3 linked regions of the Pelodiscus sinensis genome follow. The protein of the gene in region 1 purifies or fractionates together with the protein of each later gene. This does not show direct contact. Links are inferred from orthologs where the notes say so. Each region holds a gene or a part of one and is shown in the gene's direction. Other genes may lie near its edges. The genes, in order: HSP90B1, CALR and OS9.

Region 1 (7,455 bases):
CGCCGCTGACCCTGGGCTCCATGCTATGCTGCATGCTGCTAGGAGCCTGGGGTCAGCTAGGGACTCCCCAGCTGATCCCAGGCTCCCTGCAACTGTCCCTTTGAACCGCGCATCTGCGCGATTCAAAGGGGTAGCTGCAGGGAAATGCCGCAGGGAGCCCGGGATCAGCTGGGGAATCTCCAGCTGACTCCGGGCTCCTAGCAGCATGCAGCATAGCATGGAGCCTGGGGTCAGTGGGGGACTGAGAGTCCCCCGCTGATCCCGGGCTCCATGGCTTTGAAATGCACAAGAGCCCCCGCTGGGGACTTTTGTGCATTTCAAAGAAGGCACCCACGTGCATACCGGAGTCAGCGGGACTTCCCGCTGACCCCGGACTGTATGTGGAGTTCCACATTCCTTCTTTGAAATGTACAGGAGCCCCCGCTGAGGCCCCACTGGGAGCTCCTGTACATTTCAAAGGAGGAATGCGGAAGTGCCTATCGAATAGTCGACTAGTTGATGGAAATTCCATCGAGTAGGCAACTAGTCAATTAATCACATTTTAACATCCTTACTCCAGACCTAATTAACTGGAACCAGTAAACCTCACCTGTTAAGGGTAAAGCTTACTGGTTAACCTTTTACATTCCTAATAATCACAGCACATTCAATTATCTAAAGAATATTTGCTTTATAGAAATAATGTAACTGATTCTTCAGCCTGAAGACTAAACCATTTCAGTACACTTTACTTTGGTGCTAATGCCTGGAAAGTGATTCATGTTTCATTCCCTGAGAGAGAATGCTCATATTCATTTTGAATGCCACATGTGGAAATATATCCAAGATCTTGAAAACTGCCTTCAATTAATCAGAGGACAAAAAATAACTTACACTGCTTTGCAGCAAAAGGTTTGTAAGACTGTTCAATACTGCATTCATGGCCCTTAAAGTATAAAACAAACTATTAGAAAAGGTTTGCTTAACACTGATGAAGATTAGTTAAGCAAAATTACTTCTTAAAGAGATCAAACTTCCTTTTGGACTTGGCCACGGTTTCTTATATATTGCCTTTGTACTGTACACTTCAATGGAATGTTAATGAAAGTGAACTTCAATATGCAAACAATATAATCAAAGTACAGCAGTCAACACTTAGCTACACTGAATTTCAGATTATGCCATGACCTCTGCATGAACAGGACAAACCCTGCCTTTCTGAAAAGTTTTCCTAACTCTTTCAAATGCTTTCTAACAATTGTTCTTCTTCTGTGTAATTGTCAGATTTAGGTAAATCCACTTTCTTGCCAATAACAGAGTTAATTTAGATCTGGGTTCCATTTTACCCTAACCCCCCAAAGTCAGAGGAGTGGCAATGAATTATTTACATTTCCCATATCTCAAAAAAGTTAACTGAAAAAAAAACCTCACTAGGAGATTGCGGCCTAATCTAGCAGACTCCCAGCCAAGCTGGGAGGGTTGACATGCTTAAGTGCAAAAGAAAGTGGCGGCTGCAGGAATGTTGCTGATTTGGGATGGCAAGTGTCTCGAGCACATTTTCAAAGGAATTAGGAGTCTAACAATGCAGCTGGTGCCCATGGGTCACTGTCACCATCCTTAGGCATCTAAATACCTTTAAAAACCTGGTCCTAACTAAAGATGTTAAGGATCAGTCAACTAGTCAACTATCTGATAAGCAAATGCTTATCGGATAGTCAACAGGCTAGTCGACTAATCATAAGAACATAAGAATGGCCATACTGGGTCAGACCAAAGGTCCATCCAGCCTAGTACCCTGTCTGCCAACAGTGGCCAATGCCAGGTGCCCCAGAGGGAGTGAAACAAACAGGTAATGATCAAGCAATCTCTCTCCTGCTATCCATCTCCCCTCTGACAAACTGAGACTAGGGACACCATTCCTTATTCATACTGGCTAATAGCCATTAATTGACTTAACCTCCATGAATGTATCTAATTCTCTTTTAAACCCTGTTATAGTCCTAGCCTTCCCAACCTCCTCAGGCAAGGAGTTCCACAGGTTGACTGTGAGTTGCACAAAGAAGAACTTCATTTTATTTATTTTAAACCTGCTGCCCATTAATTTCATTTGGTGACCCCTAGTTCTAATTGTTCCTCCACCCCCTTGGGGGTTGGACCCGGGCGCTGCGCTGCCCCTTTGAAATGCTGCCATGGCATTTCAAAAGGGCAGTGCAGTACGGAGCCCAGTATCAGTTGTGTGGTGCTGTCCCTTTGAAACACCATCCCCGGCGTTTCAAAGAGTCTGCGCTACACAGCTGATCCCGGGACAGGGAGGCTGATCCCAGCTGATGTTGGCTCCGCGGTGCTGCCCCTTTGAAATGCCGCTATGGCATTTCAAAAGGGCAGTGCCACACAGCTGATCCCAAGCTTAGCGCTGCATGAGCCTGGGGTCAGCTGGGGACTCCAGCTAACCCCAGGCTCCCTGCAGCACTGCCCCTTGCATTTCAAAGGGGCAGAGCCTCACAGCTGATCCCAGCTGGACCCTGAGCTCAGCAGTGCTACCCCTTTGAAATGCTGCCACAGTGTTTCAAAGGGGTAGTACTGCACTATTGACTAATCGAATAGTCAATGCAAAAATGCATCAACTACTCAATTAGTCAATTACACGCTACTTAACATCCTTAGTCTTAACTACTGTGGGGGTTGCAGGGCTTGGCTCCACCCTCGGCCTCCAGCCCCATCCGGAGTAGGGATGTAATAGTGTAGGGCTATGTCTAGACTTGCATGATTTTCCACAAATGCTTTTAACGGAAAAGTTTTTCCGTTAAAAGCATTTGCGGAAAAGAGCGACTAGATTGGCACGGACGCTTTTCCGCAAAAGCACTTTTTGCGGAAAAGCATCCGTGCCAATCTAGAGGTGGTTTTGCACAAGAAAGCCTTGATTGCCATTTTTGCGATCAGGGCTTTTTTGCGCAAAACAATACCGCGTTGTCTACACTGGCCCTCTTGCGCAAAAGCATTTGCGCAAGAGGGCTTTTGCCTGAACGGGAACAGCATAGCATTTCAGCAAGAACACTGACAATCTTACATGAGATCGTCAGTGTTCTTGCGGAAATTCAAGCGGCCAGTGTAGACAGCTGGCAAGTTTTTCCGCAAAATCATCTGATTTTGCGGAAAAACTTGCCAGTCTAGACACAGCCGTCCTGTCAGATGCAGCCATAAGAGAGGGCTGACAGCGCGAATCATGTGTTCAGGGTCTGCTGCAGGGCACAGTAACTTGCCAGTTAGACTTGATTAACTGATAAGCAAAAGCTTATAGGTTAATGCTATAGACTACACGCATTTCCCTCCCCTGCCTTGCTGGTAAATTTTTTAGCAGGCTAACCAGCAGCCTGGCTCTGTCCTGTCTTGTGATGGGTCCAAACCTCCCCCCAGACAGAGGCTGCTGTCACCCTGCTCTGCTGCCTTTTTATCAGAGGCAGCAGCACAGGGCAACAGGCAGCCCGTCCATGAAGGGGGCTGTTTTTTAAACTCCAGTGTGGAGTGGCAGGGGGCTCCTTGGCAGTGAGGCTGGAGCGGGCTGGCTGCCAGCCCCCACCTTGGGAACTACAAAATAGTCGACTAACGGATAGGAATTCGTGAGGATACTCGATATCGAACATCCCGAATCCACTAGGCTGCAGCTACCAGCCAGCAAGGGGCGCGATGCCGGCCCAGAATAAAGACCCGCAGAGCGAGGCCGAAGGACTATAACTCCCAGCATGCAACGCCTCTCCACTCGCCGAGAATACATGGGAACTACGATTCCCATCAGGCCATGCGGAGCACGGATGCAAGTCCCGGCACGTGGTATCGGGGTGCGATGCATGCTGGGGGTTGCGGCCGTAGCTCTATCGGGGAGTCTGCAATCCACGTGCCCTAAGCCGGGAGCATTTCCCCGCGCGCTGCCCTCATCCTGCAGTAGCCTTGTTTCCCTGCCACTCCCGCGCGATTCCGGAGCGCGTATTGGCTTCGCCCTCTCTGCAGCTGCCTCCGTGGAAGTTACAGCGGCCGGAAGTAGACGTTGCCTTAGTGACTATCTCTAGGGCAAACATTCCGGTCGCCCCGGAAGTACTTCAGATCTCTCCGGCCATGTGGCGATTTTTCTCGCCTTAGCCACAAATCCCATTCGGGGATGCGACACTTGGCCTTGGAATCAAACATTTCCGAGCGTTTAATTTAAAAAAGAAATACACGGCAGGCCGGTTAAACTAGCCGCGGAAAATGATTGGCCGACTCTTCTTACTGGTGACCAATCAGAGGTAGCCACGCTCAGACCGCAGGAAGCCGCACATGGAAGGCTCTGATTGGCGAGGACCAGATCCCGCCCCACCTCCCAGGCAGCTTCATTGGCTGTGTGTTTGGCGTGGTGCGCTCTGATTGGCGGTGAGTTGAGCGCTTCTCCCCACCCCGTGTGCCGGACGGTGATAAGGCTGGGGGAGGGCCCTACCGGGCTGGTCCGGTAGGTTCGGCGCTTTTCCTGAGAGCTCGTGGGGCTGGATCTAGCGAGTCCTCGTCTGAGTCCGCACCGACACCCCCGCTGCTGCAATGAAGCCGCTGTGGGGACTCGCTCTTCTGTGTGTCCTGCTCCTGGCCTGTGAGTCGCCCCCTCCTCCCGCGCCCGCCCGCCCGCGGATTCTAGAAGCTTCTGGCGAGGAGCGGTTGGGGCCGGTGGGGCCTCCGCCCGGGGAGTGACCGGGAAGCCTGGGGACGGGGCGCGGCGCTGCGTGAGGCCGGGAGTTGCCCTGGGGCGAGCAGCCCCGCCCCCGCCCTTCTCCCCGTTATCGGTCTTTGGGGCGCGCGCCTGGCTGTGGGGGGGGGGGGGGGGGGGCAGTGTCTTCCCCTCAGGGAATTGTGCCCCGAGGCGCTGCCGCGCGCTGCGCCCTTTGGTCCCGACGGGGTCTCCGCCCGCGGCGGCGTCACCACCCAGTGGGGTGGGCGGGTGTAACTCCGGGAAAGGGGGGAGGGTTCTTTTTCCAGGTCGCGCTGCCCGGAGCGCTCCGCGCCCTTCTCCCCGCCTGCCTCGTGTCCCCCGCTGCGGGGGCCGGACTGAGCCCGCTAGAGGCCCCCGGGGGGGGCGGAGCCAGTCGGCTAGTCGGTCTCTAACGCTCCCTTCTCCCTCAGCATCGGTCAGAGCGGAGGACCTGGATGTGGACGCCACGGTAGAAGATGACCTGGGGAAAAGCAGAGAGGGCTCCCGGACTGACGACGAAGTTGTTCAGAGGTTTGTACCTTGTATTGTGTAAAGGTCTGTCGCCCCCTATAGCAAAACACTAAAATGCCCCCCCTGTGGGTTACTGCCTCATCCTTTTGCTGGCCTAAGAAGTCATAATGGAATGTGAGAGAGGTTTGTGTTTCTAATCTATAGGCTGAGCCTCTCTAGTCCAGCATCGTTGGGGCCTGACCAATGCTGAACCAGAGAATTTGCCAAAACATAGGAGGTCAGTGTTATCTAGGAGCATTGCCAGCAGTTCCACAGCTTGCTGGGCTTATAGGAGATATTTAGGGGTAAATTGGAGCTAAGTAACGGTGCAGAACAGGCACAGCCAGGACTCCTGGCTACAAACAAACTTTATGGCATATGGAAAACTTGGCCACACCCATGACAGGTGGACATCCTGCTAACTGAAATCATGTCAGACTAGAAAGGTTCAACCTGTAAGATGTATTTCAAGGCAGGCGGTCTCAATCAGGGACATATGTATACACAGATTTCTGCATAGCCCTACTGGTACATCGACTCATCTAGACATTTGCATAGTTTTCCAACTTGGTGCCTAAAATAGTAGGGAAGTGAATGAAAACTAAATTTGCATACAATTCATTTATAGTGCTGTATATGCCGTACATAGAAATGTAATTTCCAATTGATTTATCATATGGTAAAAATAAAAGTAAGCAATCTTTCAATAAAAGAGTAATGTGACATTTTGTCTTTTTGTTGGTTTTATAAGCAAATAGCTTTCAAATGAGGTGAAACGTGATGTTATGCTGGACAAATCAGATTCCAGTAGTGCAGTGGTCTGGAAGGGGTAGCAAGCTGCTGTTTCAGATACCTAAGAGCTTTGGTCTTTTCAGTTGATGGGCTTAAAAAAACAAATTGCCCATGTTTTGTTACTTTTTCTTCTGAAATGAATAAAATTAAAAGGTAGATCGTAAGTAATACTTAATAATGATGTATGAAACAGTAACCAGATTGTACTACTTCAACATAACAATGCAGATTTAACATCTGTCACTGACTTTGGGGAACATGCAAGATAGGTCCACCAATGACTATTAGCAATAATGGGCAGAGATGGTGTCCCTTGTCTCTCATTGCCAGAAGCTGTGAATGACAACAGGGAATGGATCACCCTGTTCTATTCACTTCCTCTGGGACACCTTGCATTGGCCAATGCCAGAAGACAGAATACTGGGCTAGATGAAACTTTGGTCTGACCCATTATTGATGTACTTATGGCTTTCTTTGATTCTAGTCAGCCCCATGGAGTATTAGTAGAAACAAGAAAGCTATTACAATAATACACTGGCTTATGGTGAACACTTGAAATAATAGCCTGTGTGCTACAGAAAGAAAGACATACAGCTGAGAGTTACTTTTATATCAGAGATAATATTATATATTGTGTCTTCAGAGGAGAGTCTTTAGACAAGGGACCTGTAGGATTTTCTGAGTAGAGAGGTCCAGCTTTTACAACATCTAATGCACTCCCTGTTACCAGACTTTACCAGTAGTTTTCATGCTTTGTGCTCCATTGTCAATCAAATCTTAACAGTTCTAAACTGTCATCCTGATGTCATGGTTTGTGGAACTTTATAGTAACCTGTGTGTGTCTGGAACCTCAAATTCAGTTGCTCTTGCCACTACATAGTAACTGAATATGGTCCAATAACAGATCTGCTATCTTTCTCTCCACAGAGAGGAGGAAGCTATTCAATTAGATGGCTTAAATGCATCCCAGATAAAAGAAATCAGAGAAAAATCAGAGAAGTTTGCATTCCAAGCTGAAGTTAACAGAATGATGAAACTCATTATCAATTCTTTATACAAAAACAAGGAGGTAAGCCGGATGTTTATCCAGGGAATGTCAATATGTATAGTTCTCGCATAACATTTATTATTCCTAAATATTTCATTTCAGATTTTCCTGAGAGAATTGATTTCAAATGCTTCTGATGCTCTAGATAAGATAAGGCTAATATCACTGACTGATGAAAATGCCCTTTCTGGTAATGAAGAACTCACTGTTAAAATAAAGGTAAGAGCTGCTAGCTTGTACAATAATCTGCTGATTTGTTACGCACCCCACCCTCTCCCCATTGGAAAAACTTCACTTTTCCTTGCTTGAGGTAACAAATTTTAAGTCTGCATATCCCAGTCTGTAAAGCACTTTAAAATTGTAAAAACTTGGTACCCTGCTATGACCATAAATCATTGGCACGTCTGCGCTTATG
Region 2 (7,241 bases), on another chromosome or scaffold:
TCAGCATTGACAAGCCCCCATGTGGACCCTGCTGTTTGTTTTGTGGAGAGGACTGGCTTCTGCCAGTATCCAACACCACTTGCCCTGGTGGCTCTGCTCAGTGTTTTGTGATCTCTGCTGCCCTGCAGGCTTGCACCCCCCCCCCTCCCCTTTCAAAGCTCTGGGAAGTATCTGGCAGTTGAGCGAGCTGCTCTGTTTGGGGAAACAAATAAGGAAGAAATCATTGGAAGGCTCCTGTTCTGACCTGCTAGGAACACAGTGGCAGGCAGGCTGCTGCTGCAGGGGGAGGGCTGGAGAGGCCGCTGTGCTGCTTTGCCGTTCCTCAGCACTGAGAGCTCATAGATCTACAAGGGAATCCCAAGAAGCGCGGGAATCAGCTTTGCTTTCCCACAACTCCGCCTGGTGGGATGCTCCCCCACAATGCTTTGCTCTGTCTGTTAGCAAGGTGCTAGCCAAGTGGCCATGAAATGGTGACAATGGGAGGCAGAAAAACTGGTTTTATCGGTTTTCACTTTCGTTGACTTTTCCACGTCGGCAGCACTTTTGTCGCCAAAATTTCCCAGTGTAGACAGAGCCTAACGTAGCACGATGTGAGTATGGAGAAAACATGGTTCCGTTTATCGAATGGAGGAACAAGTGAAAACAAATGGTGATCTCTAAAATCCAATCGCAGCATGCATCCTAGAGCCTGCACTTAACTAATGAGGTATTTTCCAGTCTCCTAGCACTGAGCTCACCCCAGAGCCTTTCTTCCAGTGCTTTACAGGCCCTCCAGTGCCTATGACCCTCCATTGAGAAGACACGCTGCCAGCAGCCTAGCTCCTCGGTGAAGGATAAGATCTTGTCCCCTCTTCTCTTCTGTTATGTAGCTACAGAATCAAGTTCCTTTCCCCAAAAGACCCTCCCTTTCATCTTTTCTCTTTGCAAGCCCTCACGCTTGACGCTGGCCAAGACAGCAAAGGTCTCTGGGAGCATCTACTGGTTTGTATGCTGATTGAATTGGCCCTGGGCCATGCAATATACACACTCCGGCTACGTCTAGACTGGTATGATTTTCCGCAAATGCTTTTAACGGAAAAGTTTTTTGTTAAAAGCATTTGCGGAAAAGAGTGTCTAGATTGGCACAGACGCTTTTCCACAAGCACTTTTTGCGGAAAAGCGTCCGTGCCAATCTAGACGCGCTTTTGCGCAAAAAAGCCCCGATCACCATTTTCGCCATCGGGGCTTTTTTGCTCAAAACAAATCTGAGCTGTCTACACTGGCCCTTTTGCGCAAAAGCTTTGCGCAAAAGGACTTTTGCCCGAACAGGAGCAGCATAGTATTTCCGCAAGAAGCACTGATTTCAGACAGTAGGAAGTCAGTGTTCTTACGGAAATTCAAGTGGTCAGTGTAGACAGCTGGTCAGTGTAGACAGCTGGCAGCTAGACACAGCCACCCTGACAGAAAGGGAAACATGGTTGTTCCTTCCTGCCTGGGGACTGCTTTATCTCACAGACCTTGAGACATGATTCCTTACATATCCACACATCCGCTTTGCAATCATCACAATGTCCAGTGTCTTGCTGGCTTTGGGTAGAGACTTCACAGGCCACCGTTTGGCATGCTATAATATAGATATTAGCCCCACAAGATCCCTCTAACTCTACACACGCCTCTGTCCTCTGCCAGCTGGTATCAAGGGGTCGCAAACCCCCTCTGCTACTGGAGGCCCTTTTGGTGTATGTGTGGTATATTATGCAATTGACAAAAGGAAGAACCCAGTGCGCAGAGCCAACAGCCAAAAACCTGGTGCATGGAGTGGCAGCAGGAACCCCAGGTACTAGGCCAGGAGCCTGGGGTGCTGTAGCACTCCTTATCCCCCTAGTTCCCATGCCTATGGCCAAAAGCCCCTTAGGGAAGCACCCTGGGATTTGGCCCAGTGATCACCCATCCAGCCTAGCTTCCAGGATCTGAACTGGACTCAACGGCTCTGTTCTGCACAGGCGGTCCTTTGGGGAAGTCGCACTCCCTTGGGAAAGTCACGGTCCTACCAGCTCAGAACACGATAGCTGCTGCTTATCTGGGATCTTCTTCTTCATGATGCTGTGGTTAAGGGAGAGATGAGGCACCGAGATTTGTAATAACGAGAAACCCAACAAGTCCGACCTCTTGGGCAGCCTATCCTTACAGACACTCAAACTAGTTCCCTCTTTCTTTTCCTCTGTAACTTATCTCTCTGGCACACCCTGCCCTGCCATCTCTCTTGGGCCTTGCTGCCAGCTAAACCGTTGGGGTTGCAAAAGAAAATCCGTTTGTGTGGCAGCCCCATGGGGCTGGGGAGCTCGTGTAATAGAAATCTTAGAGTTCAGTGGCACAACAGACCCCAAGAATGGGGTGAGATTGGACAGCCTGTCTGTTATGTAAATGATGCTAGGCAGACAATGATAAGAGGACAAGGACATCTGTGTTCAGGGAGGCCAAAGGTGATGGGCACTATAGAAAATCCACAGATAGTGTGGATGGGGTAAAGAGGGCTGCATGGTGGGGTGCATATGGGGATGGAGAGAGGGATGTGTGTGGATGGAGGGGTGAGTGCATGTGGGGACAGAGGAATTACCAGTGGGGTGTGTATGTTTTGGGATAGAGAGGGGGCATGTATGGAATGCGTGCATAGTGGGGTGTGTGAGGGATGGGTGAATGGGAGTTTGAGTATGGGGCTAGAAGATGTATGTGGGGATGGGTGGAGGGAGGGATGCGTATGGAGATTGAAGGAATTGGTGGTTGAATAGCGAGGTGCATATGGATTTGAGTGGAGAGATGCTATGTATGGGATGGATGGATAGTGGAGAGTGTAGCGGGGTAAGGGTATGGATGAGAATGGAAGGGTGTTTATGGGGATGGGTGGTTAGTGGGGTGCATGAAGGGATAGGTGGTTAGAACATGTAGGTGTGGATAGACAGATACTCTATTAAAACCGTATCTCAGAATCCTCTGATTGAGGGTCCTGAATTGGCCTGGGGCAGACCCCTGCTTACTGGCAGTCTGGGCACAGGTTAGCCAGGCACCTGGCTGGCCATCTGCTGGGTATGTGTAACGTCCCAGAGCTGTTTCCTGTTAGCTGGGGGTTTTGCCCCTGTTTTGAACAGTGTTGTTCTGAGCTCTTAAACAGACAGCTAGTTCCATCTGTGAGATGGCTGCTTTTTTGTGCCAGGCAAGGAATCCCTATACAAACAGCCCCCACAACCCACCTCAGAAACAGCTGCATCTCAGCATTGGGTGAGGGATCCCTGAATGAACAGCTGCTGTGCCCCACCCCAGAAGATGCTGCATGTTAGTAGTAGGGAGGATAGTAAATAAATAAGCCAGGGAAGCTGCACTTCAGAGATCTTTGTTCACACAGCTTGCAAATCGTGTGCACTGCTGCAGGAGGGGCTGTAGAAATGGGGAGGCTTTGGTATTAGAACTTCCTCCACAGTAGAACCTTTAGCTCTTTACCATGCACAGAGCCCTGGCACTGGCTATTTCTCTTCTTTAGGTTTCCTGGACAGACTTTACGAAGGCAAAGATGAAACATTTTGGGGCCTCTGCGAGAAGCCGTGCCTTTAGCTGGGGACTCACAAGCCTTCAGTGAAGGTAGGTTGGTCTCTTCACAGAGGGGAAAGTGGGGCCTAAGTGAGTTGACCGAAACCTCAGGAAAAGTCAGTGGCAGAGCAAAGACGTCCTGGCTCCCAGCTGCTGTCTCCTGGACCCCTCCCAAAGAGAGGCTCGCAGCCATGGACCCCCAGGTTAGCATGCATCACCGCCCTGTACCCAGGTCTCCTTCCTCCACTGGGGTTCTTTTATCACCTGCCCCGCTCGTGGTTATTATGGGCTGGGCTGGGCTAGGGTGACCCCCATTGACCAGGGGTGAGAACGAGCCTGATCAGCTGTGAGCTGGCCCTTTAAGAGCGCCCGAGAGATCACGTGACCTGACAGGCGGCGGCGACGCAGCCAGCGAGAGGAGGAGGCGTCTCCCCCCGAACGCGTGGTCGCTCTTCATTGGCCGAGCCCGACAACCAATTGCAAGCGGCCATCTGGGACGCCAACGTTCGGGGGCGCAGCCTCACTCGTCGCGCGGGGTGCCCGCCAATGGGAGCGCGCGCCGCGAGGGCACGGGCCAATGGGGAGCTGGCGGGGGCGGGGGCCGGGCCGGGCCGCCTATAAGAGCCGTCGCCGGCGGCGGCGCGCCCGCAGTGTCCGGTGCGCCGCTAGGTGGGGGCGTCTCGAGCTGTGCAGCTTCCCGGGTCGCGAGCGTGGGACCCAGCGCGATGAGCCCGCTGCTGGCGCTGTGCGGCCTGCTGGGCCTGGCGGCGGCGGGGCCCGCCCAGCTCTTCAGGGAGGAGTTCGGGGACGGAGGTGAGGGGGGGGGGTCACGGCCGGGGGGGGGCCCGGGGACACCGCCCCCCCCTTTGACTCCTGCACCCGAGACCCGGGCCTGGGCCTGCCCCCACCCGGCCTGTTGGCCTCCTCCGGGGGGTGCGGAGAGTCCTAGAGACACCCCCCCGCTGGGAGGGGCCCCCCCCACCCCTGCTCGAGCATCGCCCGCCTGCTCTGCACGGACCGGTCCGTGCTCGGGGGCACGTGGGGGGGGGGCAGAGCGGGGCCCGGGGGGGGCCCGGGCTCAGCCCCTCTGTGCCTGGAGGGGTGGCTGGAAGGAATCTGGCGGCGGTGCAAGCCTGCAGTTGTAGGTGAAGCCCCCCCCCCCCGCATTTCTCATGCCCAGCTGGAGCCGGTGTCATAATCTGTTTGGGAGGCCAAGAAGCCCCGAGGTGAGCCTGGCTTGCTCCTTTGCTTCTTGTCCCTACGGGAGCTTTGAGAGACTGGCCCAGCCACTGCAGAGGGATGTACCGGCACCCTCAGGGCGCGCTGATCCGAGGCACTAATCAGCAATATAAGCTGTTATACAGATGCTATGTTCCATGTTGGAGGAGGCTGCATTTCAGCAGCAGGTGACTCAGTTCCTGGGTATTGTCTTCTAGTCGGGAACAGCTAGTGCTCATGTGAGGAGGAATGCAAGATTCTGCTCTGCACTTGACCATGCCTGAGGCAGAAAACTTCCACTCGGCCTGCTGAATGAAGTAGGCATATTATTGCGAGGGGGTGTGTGGGCTAGTGGCTGGAGCCCTGGGAGTCAGAACTTTGCAGGGGTAGTGACTTCCTTTCTCCCTTGGTTCCCTGCCTGGTGAAAGAGACTTACTCCAGGCTGACTGGCTTACCCAACCAGTTTGAGAGCTCTTCTCTGGCCTGTGATGATGGAGCAAGGTAAGGTACAGGGCCTTCCTCAGTCAATGGCCAAGTGTGGGCTGGGTCTGTAGGTCACATTCCCACCTTCTGAGAGCTAGGGCCTGTTCAAACTGATGCCTGGGTCTCTTCCCCACAGATGCCTGGACAAGTCGCTGGGTGGAGTCAAAGCACAAGTCAGACTATGGGAAGTTCAAACTGACGGCAGGGAAGTTCTATGGGGATGCTGAGAAGGATAAAGGTGAGAAGTTGTGTGTGCGCGTGCGCGTGCTGCATTCTGCTATCCCTCCGGGGATGTACTGAGGAGATCGGGGCATCTTTTCTTAACTATCTTGCCCATTGGCTCCTCTGGCTGGTTCCTACTTGCCTCCAAGTCACCCAGCACTTCTATAAATACCTTAGCATCAAATCAGCCCAGTACATCCTTCTCATCCTACTCTGGCTGTAATGGGTTAGCTTTCTGGGTGCTGCTTGGATCGGGTGCTCTCTGGGACAGGACTGGCTTTCTGCACAGTGGAGCATGGGTCCATGACTGACAGAACCCCATAATGCACCTATGTATGTGGCTGGAGGAGGGATATCTCTTTGCTGCCTTGTGCCCTGTTAGCTTTATGTTAGTGGCATGGGGCTCTGTATGCAGGCACCATGCTGCAGAGTGCTGAGCATGAGCAAAGAGGCCTGTTGCCCAGATGTGCTGAGCTCTGAGGCCAGCTGAGCTGTGAGGCCAGCTATGTGAGGAATCCTGCTCCCCTTAGCTGGCAGCTCATGACTCTCTCCCCTCCCCTTGCCAGGCCTCCAGACAAGCCAGGATGCCCGTTTCTACGCCCTGTCCGCTCGCTTTGACCCCTTCAGCAACAAGGACAAGACCCTGGTGGTGCAGTTCACTGTGAAACATGAGCAGAACATTGACTGTGGTGGTGGCTATGTCAAGCTCTTTCCCTCAAGCCTGAGCCAGGAGGACATGCATGGGGACTCGGAGTACAACATCATGTTTGGTGAGTGGCTCTGCGTGGGACAGCTCCATAGCCTTTGCTGGCTGTGGATTACCCACATGGGCCTGGACTGAGGTTAGGGTCTCATGCAAAGCAGGGTGGGGCTTGCAGTGTGTGGATGGGAGCTCTCCCAAACCTTGGGAGTGGCTGGGGGTGCTTAGTGGCCCAGCATTGTGCTAGGAAGCTGCTGGATAACCCATGTCATATGGGGCCAGTGGTGTGGCTGGATGGCTTCAGCTGCCAAGGGGGTTCTTTGCTTCATGCCCTAAGAGGTCATGCATTGTTGCTCTGCTCCACCCCAGTGGTAGATGAAGGAACTTGAGACTTGCACCTGAAATACAAACTCTGTCCCGTAACTCCCTGGGATGGTTTCTCCTGAGAATCCTAGAGACCAGCCTGTCCTAGATGGCTCTGTTCCCCCAAACATTGCCCCTGTCTTTTCTGCTGAGTGGCCTGCCAGGTTGGGGGGAGGGGAGAGTCTAGTCTGAGCCCCATTCAACACCTACTCTCCCTGCTGAACCTGTCACTAGCTCCACACTGGGCCCTCTATTTGTGAGCTAGCACCTGGTCCTGCTGGGGCTGCATTTGCCAGCTCTCTGCACTGGAACAAAGTGACTTGTCATTTCAGGCCCTCCTGAGCCAGGCTGGTTTGCTCTGCTAAACTGTGGCTTGTTTCCGATCCAGGCCCTGACATCTGTGGTCCAGGGACCAAAAAAGTGCATGTGATCTTCAACTACAAAGGGAAGAACGTTCTGATCAACAAAGACATCCGCTGCAAAGTGAGTATCCTGGCATAGGGCTCCTGCCCTGCCACGGGGGCCTGGAGTGAGATCTCCTTGGCCTGGAGCGGAGAGCCTTCCTCCAGCCAGGTCCTCTGATCCCCGGCTCCTTCCCTTGCCCAGGACGATGAGTTCTCCCACCTCTACACCCTCATTGTGCGGCCTGACAACACCTATGAGGTGAAGATCGACAACGGCAAGGTGGAGTCAG
Region 3 (6,984 bases), on another chromosome or scaffold:
TGATGCGAGCGTTGCTGGGGGGGGGGTGAGCTGGGGGACCCCGGGTCAGGGGTGGATGGGGGAGAGGAAGTAGCCCAGGGCACAACCAGAAGGGTTGGTGGGCTGGCGCGTTTCAGCTAGGCGCCCCGTCAGCTGGACCAGATCACGGAGGATCCGTGTCCTTAGCGCCCATGGCTGGATCCCGTGAGTGATGACGGGTCCAAGCCCCCCTCCCTCTCCGACCTGGAGAGCATTGGATGCTTCGTCCGGCACCTACAACGTAGGACACTGGACTCGAGTTGCACCTGAGCGAGGGCGTGGGGGAATCAGCAGTGGCCGAAGGGGGACTGCCCCAAGAGGGCGGGGCGCAGCCCCACCCTGGACACGGTCACAAGGTGGTGGAGAACGTGGGCGCTAGAGGAATCCCTCCCCGAGCAGAAAAGGGGGGAGTGGACCATGCATTGTTTGTTCCCCGTTAGAAGCAAAGAGGGGAGGCGAGCCGCCGGAGGCGCCGACCCCAAGCGGCCGTCCAGAAGATGGAGCCGGTCCAGGTTCTGGAGTGGATTAAGGAGACACAAAGGCAAAGCCAGCAACAACAGACGCTACTGATCCAGCAGCTGTTGTTGCAACACCAGGAATAGCAGTGGCAGCTGGTAAGAGAACTAGCGGAACAATTCAAGAGTCAGCAGGACCAGTGGATGCGCCAGACCCGGCCCTCCCCGGGCCAAGGCGAGAAGGGGAATGAAGACGACGGCAGTGCACCGCGATTGACAGTCAGGTTGACTAAGATGGGACCAACGGGCGACCCAGAGGTGTACTTGACTACGTTTGAAAGGCTCGTCACCGCGGCCCGATGGCCAGAGGCCCATTGGGCCACGATACTGGCCCCCTACGTAACCGGACCGGCGCAATTGGCCTACCGCAGCTTAAGCGACCGGGAAGCCTTACATTATTACAAACTGAAGGAAGCCATATTGGACCAAATGGGCATTCCGCCCGAAACATACCGACAGAAGTTTAGAGGCGAATGATACAGCGTCGGGACGCGGCCTCACGTGACGGCCCAGCGACTCGAGCCGCTTGGCGTTGGCTGGATCCCGAACAACGTACGGGGCCACAAGTGGCCGAGCTCGTCGTGTTGGAGCAATTTGTAAATATTTTTCCCAGCGGCGGACAGCGCTGGGTGAGGCGGCACCACCCCTCTACCCTGAGCGAGGCCGTGGAGTTAATGAATGACTACGAGGCCGACGAGTTGGTCGAGGGCACGAGCCGGGGGGAAAGGTCTACCCCTGCTGCGCGAGGAGAACCGGCCCGGGGGTTCCAACCCCAGGGAAGCCCCGAGGTGGACGGCAGACGTGGGGCCGGGAAAGGGGGGGCACTGAGGCCGTTAGCTCCCCCTCCCCCGGGAAATACCCCGAGAAAAGCCGGGCTGCCTGGCCGAACGGGGAGCTCCTGGGGCACCTCCCTGTACGTGAACAGCAGGTGCGGTAGGTACTTGTCCCAGTCCTGCAGGTGCTGGTGCATAAAGGTCCTTGGCATCTGCTTCTGAGTCCCACCGAATCTCTCCACCAGCCCGTTGGTCTGGGGGTGATATGCCGAGGCCCAGGTGTGCTGGACCTTGCACTTCTCCCAGGGTCGACATGAAGATCCTTGGTCCGTGAGGACCTCCCGGGGGAACCCCACCCTGCTGAAAATGGTCGGCAGTGTGTCTGCCGCCGTGTCTGCCTCGATGGAGGGCAGGGCCACGGCCTCGGGGTAGCAGGTGGCGAAGTCCACCACCTCCAAGACGTATTTCTTCCCCGTCCGGGTCGCTCTGCTGAGGGTTCCCACAATGTCCATCACCCCCTTCTGGAAAGGCTCCTCTATATGGGTAGGGGCCTCAAAGCAGCCATTCCCGGTACAGGAATCTCTGCTCCCACAGGAACCGCTCCTGGCAATCTCCCCAGGTCAGCCCAGTCCCTCAAGGTCCGCAAGGAGGGATCTGCCTGGACTTCAGCAGCTGGGGCAGGGACAGGGACCTGTTCCCCCCCACTACTTGGGTCCGGAGTCCCAGCTCGGCCGGGCTTCGTGTCTGCTGGGGTGGGGGCCCGTGCCCCCTGCTGGGAGCCCTCCCCTGGGTCAGGATCACCAGCCCCTCACTGGCTCTGGCTACAGGTGGTGACCAGGGCCCTGTGGGGTCCGTCTGGCCACTCCTCTAGGTCCCCCCCATCAGCACCTCCGTGGGTAAGTGCCGGTGCACCCCCACTTCGTTGGGGCCCTCCTTAGCCCCCCATTTCAGATGCACCCGGGCTGTGGGCACCTTAATTGGAGTCCTGTCTATGCCCCTACAGGAGTCTGGGCCAGGATGCCTCAGCCCCCTTGAGATGGGTCCCTGGGCCCCTCGATTCCAGACCCCTCCTTAGACTGGTTCCTTCATGATTCCAGCCCCACACTGCCCCTTCCCCCAACACTCACTTCCTAGTTCCCTCACTGCCCTCAACCAGTTGGGTCTTAGGCAGCCCCCCTGCTGGGAAGTGCTCTGGCCACCGGCCAGTAGGGGTCACTCACAGCCCAAGCACAGGGACCAGTAAGGTACTGACACTACATCACACCGTGTCCAAGGAAGTCTGGGATCAAGGAACCAAGGACAGCCTCAGGCCTGGTCTACACATAGCAATTCACTCCACCCTGCTATGTTGCTCAGGGCTGTGAAGAAGGCACATCCTGTCCAGGGGATGTCATTTAATTAGGCAGACCTAGCCCCTGGTGTAGGCATGGCTAGATTAAGGGAAGAATTCTTTTGTCGGCCTAGCTGCCATCTCCTGGAGAGGTGGATTAACTGCACCATAGAAAACACCCGTCTGACACAGAAGCGTCGACACGTTGCGATGCGGCTGTAGCGTAGACAAACCCTCAGAGCTGGTGACAGGACGGTGCTGTATCCCAATGTCAGTAGGATCTGCCAGGGGCTCTGTGCACATGTAGAGGTTACAGGAGATCCCCCCCCATCACTTAGGCTGCACCCCTAGCAGGGGTTCCACCCCTGTGGCCGAGGCCTGGCCCCCTTGCCTTATGCCCCTCCCCATGGCTTTCTCCATCAGCGTCCCCTCTCCATCACCTCCCACTGAGGATGGGCCCCATAAACCCCCAGGCTGTGTCTACACTGGGCCACTTATTCCGGAAAATCAGCCGATTTTCCGGAATGAGCTGTCTACACTGGCCCTTGAATTTCCGGAAAAGCAACGACGCTCTACTGTACAAAATCAGCCGCTATTCCGGAAAACCTATTCTGCTCCCGCTCGGGCATAAGTCCTTATTCCGGAACACTGTTCCGGAAAAGGGCCAGTGTAGACAGCCCAGTAGTCTTTTCTGGAAAAAAGCCCCGATCGCAAAAATGAAGCTCGGGGCTCTTTTCCGGAAAAGCAGCCTGCCAATGTAGACGCTCCTTTTCCGGAAATACTTATAACGAAAACTATTCTGTTTTAAGCATTTCCGGAAATTCATGCCAGTGTAGACAGAGCCTGCCATTGTGTGGGTCAGCCCCCCTGAGTGGCCCTATGCAGCTTGGCTCCACCTAGCCCCACCCCTGCGCCTGCCACATGGCCTAGGTCCGACTGAAGCCCTGTGGATCATGTGACTCCAGTTTAACCAATCAGCTTGGCTCCCAAAGTTGGCTACAATTTATCTTCCTTCCCTCTTTCAATGCTGCCATCTCTGGGCTGCTCTTGCCCTTTAAGAGCCGGGCGTGACGTCATCATCCAGGCGGCCCTCGCCTTCCTGATTGGCTCGGGCGAGTGCTGACTCGGACCAATCCGTCCTCGCCAGATGCCAGCCCCGTCCCAGCCCCACGCCGGCCTCGCTTCCGAGGGCCCTTCCCCGGAGACTGACCAATGAGGAGCTAGATCAGAGGATTGGCACAGGCGCGGCCCAATGGCGGAGCTGGCTGCGGCGGGCAGGGCGGGCCCGCGCGAGGCGGCAGGCAGGAGGGCGGAAGCGCGGTGCGGGAGCGCGGGGAAGATGGCGGAGGCGCGGCCGGGGCTGCTCCTGCTGCTGGCGCTGCTGGCGCCGGGGCGGCCGCTGCCCGGAGCCGCCGGGAGCCTCAACCTGCAGGAGCTCAGCGAGCTCAAGTACGGGATCGAGATCGCCGCCGAGCCGGTGCTGGCCGGGCAGGTGCGTGGGGGGGGGCGCGTCGGGGGGGGCAGGTGCGTGGGGGGGGGCGGGCAGGTGCGTGGGGGGGCGCGTCGAGGGGGGGCCGGGCAGGTGCGTGGGGGGGCGCATCGGGGGGGGGCAGGTGCGTGGGGGAGGGGCCTGGCAGGTGCGTGGGGGCAGGTGCGTGGGGGAGGGGCCTGGCAGGTGCGTGGGGGGGGTCTGTCGGGGGGGGGCCTGGAAGGTGTGTGGGGGGCAGGTTCGTGGGGGGGCGCGTCGGGGGGGCATGGCAGGTGCTTGGGGGGCAGGTGGGTGGGGGAGGGGCCTGGCAGGTGCGTGGGGGGGCCCGTCGGGGGGGGGGCTGGAAGGTGTGTGGGGGGCAGGTGCGTGGGGGAGGGGCCTGGCAGGTGCGTGGGGGGCAGGTGCTTGGGGGGGCGCATTGGGGGGGCAAGTATGTGCAGGTCGGTCTGGGAGGTGCATGTTGGGGGGGTAAGTGAGGGGGCGGGGGGCAGAGGTCCCAGAGTGGGAGGTGAGAGGTCTGGCCAGGGGGGGTGCTGGAGGGGAGGGGCCCCACAGGTATGTGTAGGGACTGAACCGGCACGGGGGCAGTTAGCTGGGGAAAGTGGGGGCAGGGCCAGTGTTTCTGTGGGGGTTGGTCTGGGGCAGAGGGAGCGAGCGGATGGGGGGTCCTAGGAGCTGGCATTGGTTGGCAGGGTCAGGGTAAGACTGGAGCGAGAGGGGGGCTGGGGTAGGTAGGTGCCAGGGGCCAAGCCCATGTGGAAACTCCCTTTCAGCCCATCTCCCCCATCCTGGGGCCACGTCCGACCTGGTGCCTGTGCAAACACATCCCCTTTACTTGCTCCCAACAACCGACCCCTTCCTGGCATAGGCCGGGGCACCGGGCTCAACAGCACCCTGGCCACTGCCCCGGCGGCCCCCGTGTTTACTTCTCCGGCCGAGTCAGGCGGCTGCGCTTGGGACTTCCACCATCCGAGGCCTCACTTTCGCACGTGCCAACGGGGAGCTGGCGCAGAACGGCCGAGGTGCGGCGTCACGCTGCTGCTCGGCCGTGCGCTTTGAAACAGCGACTTCTGGCGCAGCTGTGTGCACCTTGTTCTGCTTTCTGGCTGCCTGCCTCTCTGGATTAACGCCGCCTGCGGAACGGCGGGGAGGGTGGCCAAAATCTGCTGAAACCGCAGTCGCTTTCTAGCACCTGATTCTTCTCCACGATTCTGGCCTGGGGGAGGCTTAGCTAAAAGCAGAAGTTTGGGAAGTTGGCTTGTGTTTGCATCCGGAGAGCGCCTGCCAGCTGCTGCCCGACATGCTGGCTCGGGCACTTTGTGCTTTGTAAAGGCGAGAGCCTGCTCTTGTGCACATTCAGCATCACGGTGTAAATTCGGAGAGGGGCCCTGCGGCCCTGGGCAAGTCGTTTAGGCCTCATCTAAACAAGCAGGTTGTGCAGCGGTTTGGCTAAATGAGACCGGTATTGAGGAAGTGTTACCCATCATCCCCAGCGTGGACGCTGTCTTCTGACAGTGGCCAAGAGGGAGCAAACAGAACAGGGAATCATCAAGTGATCCCTCCTCTGTCGCCCAGTTTCAGCCTCTGACAAACAGCGGCTCTTTTTGGAACCCTGTTAAAGTCCTGGCTTTCACAACATCCTCTGGCAGGGAGTTCCACAGGTCGACTGTGGGCTACATGAAGAAAAACGTCCTTTGGTTTGTTTAAAACCTACGACCTATTCATTTCATTTGGTGACCCCCTCGTTCTGATGTTAAAAGCCAGTTTGGCGCTCTGCCCCCTAGGCGATGCTGCCTGTCAGAACTGACGCGCTCAGCCCTAGAGTTGCCGTATCGCCGAGCCAAGGTCACGAAGCCGGCGCCAGCTCCCTCGCAGCTTGCTCTGGTCTAGCTTGCGTCCCTGAAGAGCGGGTGGAAGCCACTCTGCCGTAAGCGGCTCAGAAACTGAGACGGCTGCCCCCCCATGGGGATGCACTGGTTTCCATGGGATCCGGGCACAGCTGCAGTGAAAGCCATTCCCGCTGGTGCCTGGGCGAATTGTGGAGCAGAACCGGTTTCCAACCGGGGTTGGGCAGGATTTGGGTTTTGACGAGTATCTCTCTTCTGATTGGCGTGGGGTGAGCAGCAGACTTGGCTTCCAATCCCAGCCCTGCCACTGCCTCGGCGGCCTTGGTCATGTCACCTCACTGTGCCTTAGTTCCCTAGCTGCGTGATGCCGGACGCCTGGTATGGCAGGAACAGGAGGAAGCCAGAGCATCTAGCCACCAGGCTGGCACCTTCCTGCTCCCTCAGACCTCTTGGCCCTGTTCTCCTTCGCTGACGCCCCACCTCCGCCCCCTAGAGCCAGCCGGAGGACGTGGTGGTCGTGGCGTCCAAGTACAAGCAGAAGTACGAGTGCCGCCTGCCGACCGCCGCCCTGAGGATCCACCTGGACGCGGAGGAGCAGCCACAGAGTTACCAAGGCCTGGGCATCTCGGATCTGCTGCGGCCCATGGAGGCTGCGCCCTGCCTCGTGAAGGTGACTCCGAGGGATGCTGTGTGCTTGGGGGGGGGGGAGGTGTCTGCAGGCCTGTTGGCCCCCCTGGAAGCGGGCTGGCTCCTGGGGAGGAAGGGGGTAGACAGGATTCCTTCGGGGGGCCCTGGGGAGCTGGCAGCACCTGCTCCCGGCCTCCGGCGGCCTGGCCGTCAGCAGGAAAGCTGTCAGTTGTGAGGTCCGGGCGGACGGAGGAAAGGCCCCCGTGGCACGGAGCCACCGCTGTCTTTGCCGGCCCTCGAGGGGCACACAGCAGCCCCGGCAGCATGGATCTAAGGGGGCTGGGCTGGGGCCGTGGCCAGTGGGGTTCTGGGGGGCGGGGCAGCT

The links.
Region 2: the proteins of HSP90B1 (region 1) and CALR fractionate together in Homo sapiens (co-fractionation; 4 studies listed by BioGRID, with this or other methods). This does not show direct contact. The link is inferred for Pelodiscus sinensis from reciprocal best matches to the Homo sapiens genes HSP90B1 and CALR.
Region 3: the proteins of HSP90B1 (region 1) and OS9 purify together in Homo sapiens (affinity purification with mass spectrometry; 6 studies listed by BioGRID and IntAct, with this or other methods). This does not show direct contact. The link is inferred for Pelodiscus sinensis from reciprocal best matches to the Homo sapiens genes HSP90B1 and OS9.

What each region holds. Positions count from the first base shown.
Region 1 is NC_134711.1:98,350,942-98,358,396, reverse strand, and holds the start of HSP90B1 (endoplasmin), read left to right. Parts: upstream 1-4,404; 5' UTR 4,405-4,545; coding exon 4,546-4,594; intron 4,595-5,121; coding exon 5,122-5,221; intron 5,222-6,919; coding exon 6,920-7,061; intron 7,062-7,142; coding exon 7,143-7,259; intron 7,260-7,455.
Region 2 is NC_134729.1:13,045,231-13,052,471, reverse strand, and holds the start of CALR (calreticulin), read left to right. Parts: upstream 1-4,196; 5' UTR 4,197-4,286; coding exon 4,287-4,374; intron 4,375-5,398; coding exon 5,399-5,500; intron 5,501-6,050; coding exon 6,051-6,254; intron 6,255-6,935; coding exon 6,936-7,030; intron 7,031-7,153; coding exon 7,154-7,241. UniProt on the Homo sapiens protein: Calcium-binding chaperone that promotes folding, oligomeric assembly and quality control in the endoplasmic reticulum (ER) via the calreticulin/calnexin cycle.
Region 3 is NC_134729.1:2,614,425-2,621,408, reverse strand, and holds the start of OS9 (protein OS-9), read left to right. Parts: upstream 1-3,941; 5' UTR 3,942-3,975; coding exon 3,976-4,128; intron 4,129-6,465; coding exon 6,466-6,642; intron 6,643-6,984. UniProt on the Homo sapiens protein: Lectin component of the HRD1 complex, which functions in endoplasmic reticulum (ER) quality control and ER-associated degradation (ERAD).